Rattus norvegicus: one gene and its partner. The protein of the gene in region 1 binds, or shares a complex with, the protein of each later gene. Links are inferred from orthologs where the notes say so. Each region holds a gene or a part of one and is shown on either strand. Other genes may lie near its edges.

Region 1 (3,815 bases):
TGAAAATACACACACCAACACTTAAATTGAGGCATGAAGATTTCCGGTGTCAGGCCAGCTTAGAATACATCAAAAGACCTATTTCAACACACACACACACACAATGATATTGAGTGTTCTCAGACCAAAGTAATATTTGGTGTGATGATTGACCCGTTGTTAGTGAGAAAACAGTGAGTTTCTTGACCACTTATTTTCCTTTAATCTCACTAAGAGGTTGTGGTTTGGCATTCCATAGTAAGTGTTATATTTGGTGGTGATAATAATCATGTGACCATGATGAAAAAAAACCCCTAATTAACATTATCAGGGTATTGGTCTACAAGATATCAGTGAATATTAAAGATTAGAGAAGATAACCAAATTTGATCATTATTTATCATTTGATTTTTCTATTTCTGGTTTGGATAGGTCATTCTTAAATTTCTAGTTGTAAAGAAATATCCAAAGGGCTGGAGAGATGGCTCAGTGATTAAGAGCACCGGTTGCTCTTCCAGAGGGCCCATGTTTGAGTCTCAGCACCCACATGATTGCTCACAGTCATTTTTGACTCTTCTGCCAGGAGATCCAACACCCTCTTCTGGCCTCTGTGGGTACTGCACAAATATGCATTTAGGCAAAACACATGCATATAAAATAGAACTTTTAAAAAACTTTAATGTATTTTGGAGATATGATCTACCCTATATTATAACATAATTTGTTATATATAACAGTACTTGGTAATTGTTTTCCTTTTAGATCACAGCAGTTGTTTTTAAATAAATCATAAGCCTAGCCTGGTGTGCATGCCTTTATTCCCAATACTCAGAAGGTGGGTGAATCTCCGAATTTAAGGCGAGGCTGGTCTATATAGAGAGTTCCAGAACTACATAGAAAGACTCTGTCTCAAGAATGAATGAATGAGGATTATTTATATGGCATTCTTTTCAATTTTCAGGCTAGATGAACTACAGAAGCAGCTACAGGAAGACATAAGACAGGGCCGTGGCATTAAATCTCCTATCAGAATTGGCGACCAGGACAGTACAGATGATGAGGATGGCCTCTCAGAAGAACACAGGTAGCGTCTTTTTACACTATCTATAATCTTCTAGTACTTTTTAACCATTTTTCAAATTTGGTATTTATAAAACAGCTGGATCTTTGACTGGCTGTTCAATGACTGATACACACTTGAATTTTGTTGAAAGGCAAACATTAAAACCAAATTACATCCTAAGTCTTAACACTGAGAGACTCAGTGGTTTTCATTACTGAACATATGAAATGTGTAGCCATAAGGAGGACTGCAAAACATTCTATCTGTCTCAGTCAATCCCCCCACCTCCCTCTCTTTCTGAGACAGGATTTTTCTATGTAAGAGCACTGACTGGCCTGGAATTCTCTGTAGACCAGGCTGGACTGGAACTCACAGAGATCCACCTGCTGCTGCCTCTAGAATGCTGAGATCAAAGTTGTGTACCTGGCTAAAATACTCTTCAGTCAGTCTTACAGTCTGACTTAATACTTTACCTACTGAGCCATCTCCGTACCCTGAGTTAATCAATCTTTAAAATTTATAGTATACCAAAAAGATGTTCATTGGTTCTATCGCATTAGCACATGCCATTAATTCCAGCACCCAGGAGGCAGAGAGAGGCAGATCTCTGTGAGTTCGAGGCCAACCTAGTCTACAGAACAAGTTTCAGGACAGCCAGGACTTTACAGAGAAACCAAAAAAGTACACACAAAATGCTGTTTTGTAAGAGTTTGCCAAGTGTTATGTATTCATCTTTTAAGTACAGAATCATATATGTCCTAACTCTTTAATATTCAATGATCCTTGTATTTCAGGGAATTTCTAAAGAAATTTTCAGTTACAGTTGATGCTATTCCTGATCATCATCCAGGTGAAGAAATATTTAATTTCCTCAATTCTGGAAAAATTTTCAATCAGTATACCTTAGATTTAAGAGACTCTGGTTTTATCGGAGAAAGTGCTGTGGAAAAGCTTATTCTCAAGTAAGTAAATCATAAATATTTGGATTTTTTTTCCTGTATAAATATTTGTTCTAAGGGCTGGAATAGCTCAATGGTTAATAACACTTAACTGCTCTTGCAAAGGACCCAGGTTCAATTCCCAGCATCTACATGGTAGCTCAGAACTATACATAACTCTAGTTCCAGAGGTTCTGACCTTTGTGGACACCAGACATATATGTAGTACACATACATGCATGCAGGTATAGTAGTCAGGGTACACTAGAGCAGTGTAACCTGAGTCATGACCCCTTTAGGGATTGCCTAAGGCCATTGGATAACAGATATTTACAATACATAAAGTTGTAAAACTACAGTTAGGAAGAATATATAAGAATAATTTTATGGTTGGGATCACCACAACATGAGGCACTGTATTAAACGGTCACAGCACTAGGAAGGTTGAGAACCATTGAACCATACAAAGTGAATTTGTATATATAGAAAGAGGGGATTTAGTAGAATGGTTTACAGGCTATGGTCCAGGTACTCTGGCAGTGGCCAGAAGAAAGGCCAGAAGTCCAGTTATTCAGTCAAAGAGGTTGGATGTCTCAGCTGGTCTTTAGTATACTCTGGAATCCTGAAGAAGTAAACTCTAATGCCAGTGAATGAATGAACTTCCTAGGAAAACGAGCCAAAGCAGGGGCAGGGGCAGGTAATCATTCATCTTCTATGTCCTTTATATAGGCTGGAGGTAGGGAGTGCCTGAACCTTTAATCCCAGCACTGGGAAAGCAGAAACAGGCAGATCTCTTGAGTTTTGAGGCCAGGTCTACAGAGCGAGGTGCAGGTCAGGCAGGGTTGCAAAGAGAAACCCTGTCTCAAAAAACATAAGAAAAAGAAATGGGTCTTCCTACTTCAAATGGTTTTGTTAAGGGGAAAAAAAAATCCCAAACAGGTGTAGAGAGATGGCTCAGCAGCTAAGAGCATTGGCTGTTCTTTCAGAGAACCCAGGTTCAATTCCCAGTACCCATGTGGTAGCTCATGACTGTCTGAATTCCAGTTCTAGGGGATCTGGCACCTCTATGTAGACATATACATGTAGGCAAAACACCAATGCACATGAAAATAAATCTTTAAAAAGAAATGAAAAGAAAAAACCCTTATGGGTGTGCCCACCTATTTGCATTTTATAGTCAGACTGACAATCAAGAATATCCATCATGGAAGCAAAATACCCATATACATAAAATAAAATCTGATTTTCAAAAGTTGCTCTTAAAAGTTTGTGACTGGGGCCCAGTAAGACTCTGCTGCTGCCTTAGATGAATGTGGACTGTCTGGGACTGTGGCCTGGTTGGTGAGTGATTATGTAGAGTATCCAGAGCCCTGTTTTGCTTCTTACACCACATGAACCAAAAGTGGTAGCCTACGGCTGGGTAAGTAAAGGTGAAAACTTTCCAAGTTGTCTTCAGTTTGCAAGTTTTAAGCCTGCTGGGCCATAAGAGATATTATCTCAAAGTGGAGAACTGATTATGTAAAATCCAGCCATGGCAGTTCACAGCTGTAATCCTAGAATTGCTGGGGCAGGAAGATCGCAAGTTTGGTGTCACTCTGAGCCTACAGAGCAGGACCTTTTCTCCAAAAACATATTCCCAGTACCACAAAAGGAAAGGGTCACCGGTGACAACAGTAATAACAGTGGCTGTCAGAAGCTGGAGTTTGACCAAGGTTTGTTTTGGTTTTTTTTTTTTTTTTTTTTTTTTTTTTGGTTCTTTTTTTCGGAGCTGGGGACCGAACCCCGGGCCTTGCACTTCCTAGGCAAGCGCTCTACCACTGAGCTGGGGACCGAAC
Region 2 (4,423 bases), on another chromosome or scaffold:
ACTATGATCAATAATTAATAAATTAGAACCAAGAGACTTCTTCATGGCAAAGGACTCAGTCATTCAGGAAAAAAAAGTTGTTTTTTTGTTTTTTTGGTTTTTTTTTTTTTTGAGACAGGTTTCTCTGTGTATTCCTGGCTGTCCTGGAACTCTTTCTGTACAACAGGCTGGCCTTGAACTTAGAGAACCGACTGCCTCTGCTTCCAATCACTGGAATAAAAGGTGTGCACCACCACCTCCTGGCAGGAGAAGATTTTTTAACAACTACATATCTGATAGAAGTCTACTATCCACAATATATTAAACAAAAAATACTAAAAAAAAAAAAAAAAAAAAAAAAAAAAACAAACCTGAAAAACCAAAAACCAAAAACCAACCAACCAAACAACCAAACAAAAAACTATCAAGAAAACAACCCAGGGACTGGAGAGATGGCTCAGTGGTTAAGAGCACTGATGGATCTTCCAAAGGTCCTGAGTTCAAGTCCCAGCAACCACATGGTGGCTCACAACCATCTGTAATGGAATTGATGCCCTCTTCTGGTGTATCTGAAGACAGCTACAGTGTATGCATACATAAAATAATTACATTTAAAAAATATTTTTAAAAGAAAGAAACAACCGAATTAAAATCTGGGGCAGCACATATTCCATTGTAATGACCTTACTTTGCAGACAGTTCCATCAGTCTTCAATAGCAAGAACAAACTGGCACAGCTGAATAATTTTTTTTTAATGACAGAACATGAAATTGATAAGTTACCACGTGCCAAGATACTTAATATATACATGGAACACCAATAATAAGATAGTCTATAATCTAAATATGCTAGAGGTGTTTAATTTAAACACCTAAATTATTAAGAGATTTTTAGACGATTCTAATCTCATAGTTGGGGATACGTCTCAGTTTGTGTATAATGCCTGTCTAAGACTTGAGACCTTACGTTTGATCCCCAGCACCCCATAAACCAAGTACACTTGTCTCAATACCCGGAAGGTGAAAGCGGAATCAGAATCAAGGTCATCCTTAGCTACATAGCAAATCTGAGGCTAGCCTGAACTACAGAAGACCCGGCCAAAAAAAAAAAAAAAAAAAAAAAAAAAAAAAAAAAAAAAACTAGTACAACCCATTAGAAAATATATATAGATATTTTTCTATAGTAATACACACATACACACACACACACTGTAGCTCTCCAGACAGTGGGAATGGGAAAGTTATTGCTTATTACCCTAAATTTTCTTTATCTCTATTTAAAATTACATTCATAATCCAAGGTGGTGAAAGGTCACTTTTCCAAAGATGTTTGTGGACCTGAAGAACACATGGTTTCCTTTCGGAGTGAAGTAAACGATTGATTAGCTATGGTGGTTGTAGGATGGATGAATCATACCACAGTAAAGGTACTGTTAAAAGACAAACTACCATAAAGGTATATTTACAAGCTAGATAGCACAAAAAGGCAAAATTAGGTTCCTCTCCTAAGAGGAAACTTAAAGAGGAACTAGAGCCTGCTAGTTTTACATCAAATTGTAACAAGCTACAGCGATCTGAGAGAAATGAACCTTAATTGAGAATCTATGTCCTAAGATCCAGCTGTAAACACGCCTGTAGGGCATTTCCTTAACTAGCGACTGCTGTGGGAAGGCCCAGCCTACTGTGGGTGGGGCCACCCCAGGCTAGTGGTCCTGGTTTCTGTGAGAAAGCAGGATGAGCAAGCCAGAGGTAGCAAGACAGTAAGCATCACTTATCCACGGCTTCTGCACAGCCTCTGCCTCCAAGTTCCTGCCCTGCTTGAGTTCTTGTTCTGACTTCTATAGTATGAACATCGAACTGTAAGCTAAATAAACCATTTCTTCTTAAAGTTGCTTTGGGTCATCGTGTTTCATCACAGCAATAGTAATCCTAAAACACCTACCTTTGGTGTAGGAGGACCCTGCAACTTCCCAAAGGCAACCTAAAAGGAATGAGCACTCAAAAAGTGATTTGCATGCTTATGGAGTAGCTGACCTTGATTTAGGTCATATATTAGGAAGATCAGAGACCGATCCCTGGACTAATCGAAGCCACAGCATCTGGATCACGGTAGGGGCTCACTAAATTTCTGTGGAGAGTTCTAGAAAGGCGGAGACCACAGATATTTTTATTCCACCACTTCAGGAGCAAGGATAAAGAGAACCTGGAGGAAAAACAAAGGTGCGAGTGCCCCGCCCCCGAGCTTTGTATGTGATTCGCATCTGCAAAGCAAAACAAACCGTCCTTCTCCACAACTCAAAAATCGGGCCCTTGGCTCGGGAACTAGGCCCTGCAGCGCAGCCGCCACGGTGCCAAGGGCGGCGCTTCCCTCCTCGCAGCCGAGGCTCCTGTTACCTCCTTGCACATATCTGTGCCCATCACAAGCCAAACAATTACGCGCTCCCGCGCGCCCGCCTCGAGGTCCGGGTAGCGGCTGCGGCCTGGCCAGGACCCCCCACTTCTCCCGCTGCCCAAGCTAGGTGCCAGCTCAGGCCAGAGGCCACAGCTGGCCACCGCCTGGCAGCTCGCATTGGTGCTCAATGTGTCGCCCATGTGCTCGGCCGGCTCCTCGGCACAGCCCTGTAGGGCTCAGCACTGGCCAGCCCGAGGCCTGCCTTTCCAGCCGCGCCGCCGCGCTCCTCGAGGCCGGAGGCCGCCAAAGGCGGGAAGACACGGCGGCGGGGTACCACGGTCGCAACGCCGAGGCCCCGAGGGGGCGACGCTCGGCTCCCGTCGGGCGTGGCGAACGGCAGTGGATTCACTCACCACGGTTCGGCGGGGCAGCGCGCCGGGGGTCCGGGACAGGGCCCGGCGCAGCCTCCGCGCCCTGCCCGAGCGGGTCCCGGCCGAGCTCTCGGAGCCACTGTCGTCGGAGATCACGATAAAGTCCTCCATGGCTACGGGCCCGGCTGAGCCCCACGCGAGCGGCGAGCGGCCCCAGCGACTGCGACTCGGGGTCCAGCTGCTGAAGCGACTGCAGCGACCGCGTCGCCGACACCGGGGTTAGTATCCCGCCCGCCCCGCCCCCTCCATTGCCCCGCCCCCACCTCCCCGCCTCCAGAGGACCCGTCCCGCCCCGAGCCCCGCCCACCGCGGGGAAACCGCGCGCCCGGGGCAGGCCGGTGTCACCGAACCCTGGAGGAGCCCAGCTCCCTTCCGCTCTGAGAAGGAGAGAGAGAGGGAAGAGAGGGAAGGGAGGGATAGAACTGAGAGGCTCGGCCTCATGGTCGGCCCGCCGGCCGGCTTGAACAACGCTGAGGTTGAGAGGTTCTCTACCGCTGCTCTCAACTGACCATAGAGGGCGGTGCCGGTGACTAGCCCCTGGCTGCAGGTGTGAGGAGGTGTGATTAGCCAGCCAGCTTGCTTCACAGGGAGAGGGGTCACTGGAATGGGCTGATGGAGCCTCTGATAGAGCATTTAATTGACCCGGTAGTGAGGCCTGCAACTGGCAGAAGAAGCATGATTCCTTCAGGTTTAAGAAGCCCTGAGGGGTTGAGAAGGGTAACCTGAAACTAGTGTTTGAGTGACTGGGGCTTCAGGCTGAGATAAGGGAGAGATACTCACTCTTGTGTGTGCAGGCAGATCTGTAGGATAAATTCCCAGCGGCAGAATTTTTGGATCAAATCTATGTTTTTATTGTTATTTTGGCAAATGGTACCAAATTATCCTAAGTTGTACCAATTTGCAGTTTCACCAACAATATGTGTCGCAGGAATTTAAACTGTCAAATGCAAGAGTTTGTTGAGTTCCTAGTTGACAGAAACCGCCGGAAACGGCACACAGCTACGAGATCCCAGAGTACCTGTATACTCCAGTGCTGTGAAGAAGCAGAAGTTATAAGGATAAAATTATATCTCCAACAGAGGGTGAATAATAGAGATTGCAGAACCACACACCAGTGTTTCTGACTGAGAAGCTGAGCTTTGGGAGTGAGCCCTGAAATTGGTATTTCTCTCAGGTTCCTGGGTGATATTGACATTGCTTAAAGTCTGGTAAACATATGTTAAGGCTCACTGGTCTGAGCTAGGCATCTGTGGTGCCTGCCTTGAATCCTAGCTCCTGAAAGGCTAAGGTCAGCTAGGGTGAGAGAAAAGGAGAGGAAGGTGGGGGAGGAGAAGGGGAAGGGAGGGAAGGAGAGAGATCACTGGCCTGTTGGGCAAGAAGCTTATGGCTACAGGTTTCAAATGTTTTGGTTCAATGGGCGAATTGTTATAAAGGGACACAGAAAGGTGAATTTCCTATAATACTATCAAGCATTCATTTCAACACAGATACACACAGACACACACACACATGCATGCTCACACACACATGAACACACACATGCATGCTCACACTCACACATGCATGCTCACACACACCTATGCTCACACACATACAGTACACACACATGAACACACACATG

The links.
Region 2: the proteins of Slf2 (region 1) and Simc1 are in contact, whole or in part, in a cryo-EM structure (PDB 7T5P), measured with the Homo sapiens proteins. The link is inferred for Rattus norvegicus from reciprocal best matches to the Homo sapiens genes SLF2 and SIMC1. Residues at the interface, in NP_060591.3 of Homo sapiens: His738, Val772, Leu775, Lys778, Asp783, Phe786, Gln790, Gly791, Phe792, Thr794, Ser795, Ala796, Tyr797, His798, Tyr799, Cys820, Ile821, Gln825, Ser828, Met831, Glu832, Ile835, Arg836, Asp838, Thr839, Ser841, Asp842, Ser843, Pro847, Lys919; in NP_001295125.1 of Homo sapiens: Tyr426, Arg428, Leu431, Lys435, Leu438, Pro440, Val442, His443, His444, Leu445, Phe447, Gln448, Arg470, Arg471, Phe490, Asp493, Pro497, Val521, Asp522, Lys525, Glu526, Tyr528, Met529, Met532, Lys533, Gln536, Leu537, Arg571, Asn658, Gln661.

Annotation. Positions count from the first base shown.
Region 1 is NC_086019.1:253,749,005-253,752,819, forward strand, and holds part of Slf2 (SMC5-SMC6 complex localization factor protein 2), read left to right. Parts: intron 1-940; coding exon 941-1,063; intron 1,064-1,836; coding exon 1,837-2,004; intron 2,005-3,815. UniProt on the Homo sapiens protein: Plays a role in the DNA damage response (DDR) pathway by regulating postreplication repair of UV-damaged DNA and genomic stability maintenance.
Region 2 is NC_086035.1:10,109,015-10,113,437, forward strand, and holds the start of Simc1 (sUMO-interacting motif-containing protein 1), read right to left. Parts: upstream 2,997-4,423; 5' UTR 2,914-2,996; coding exon 2,785-2,913; intron 1-2,784.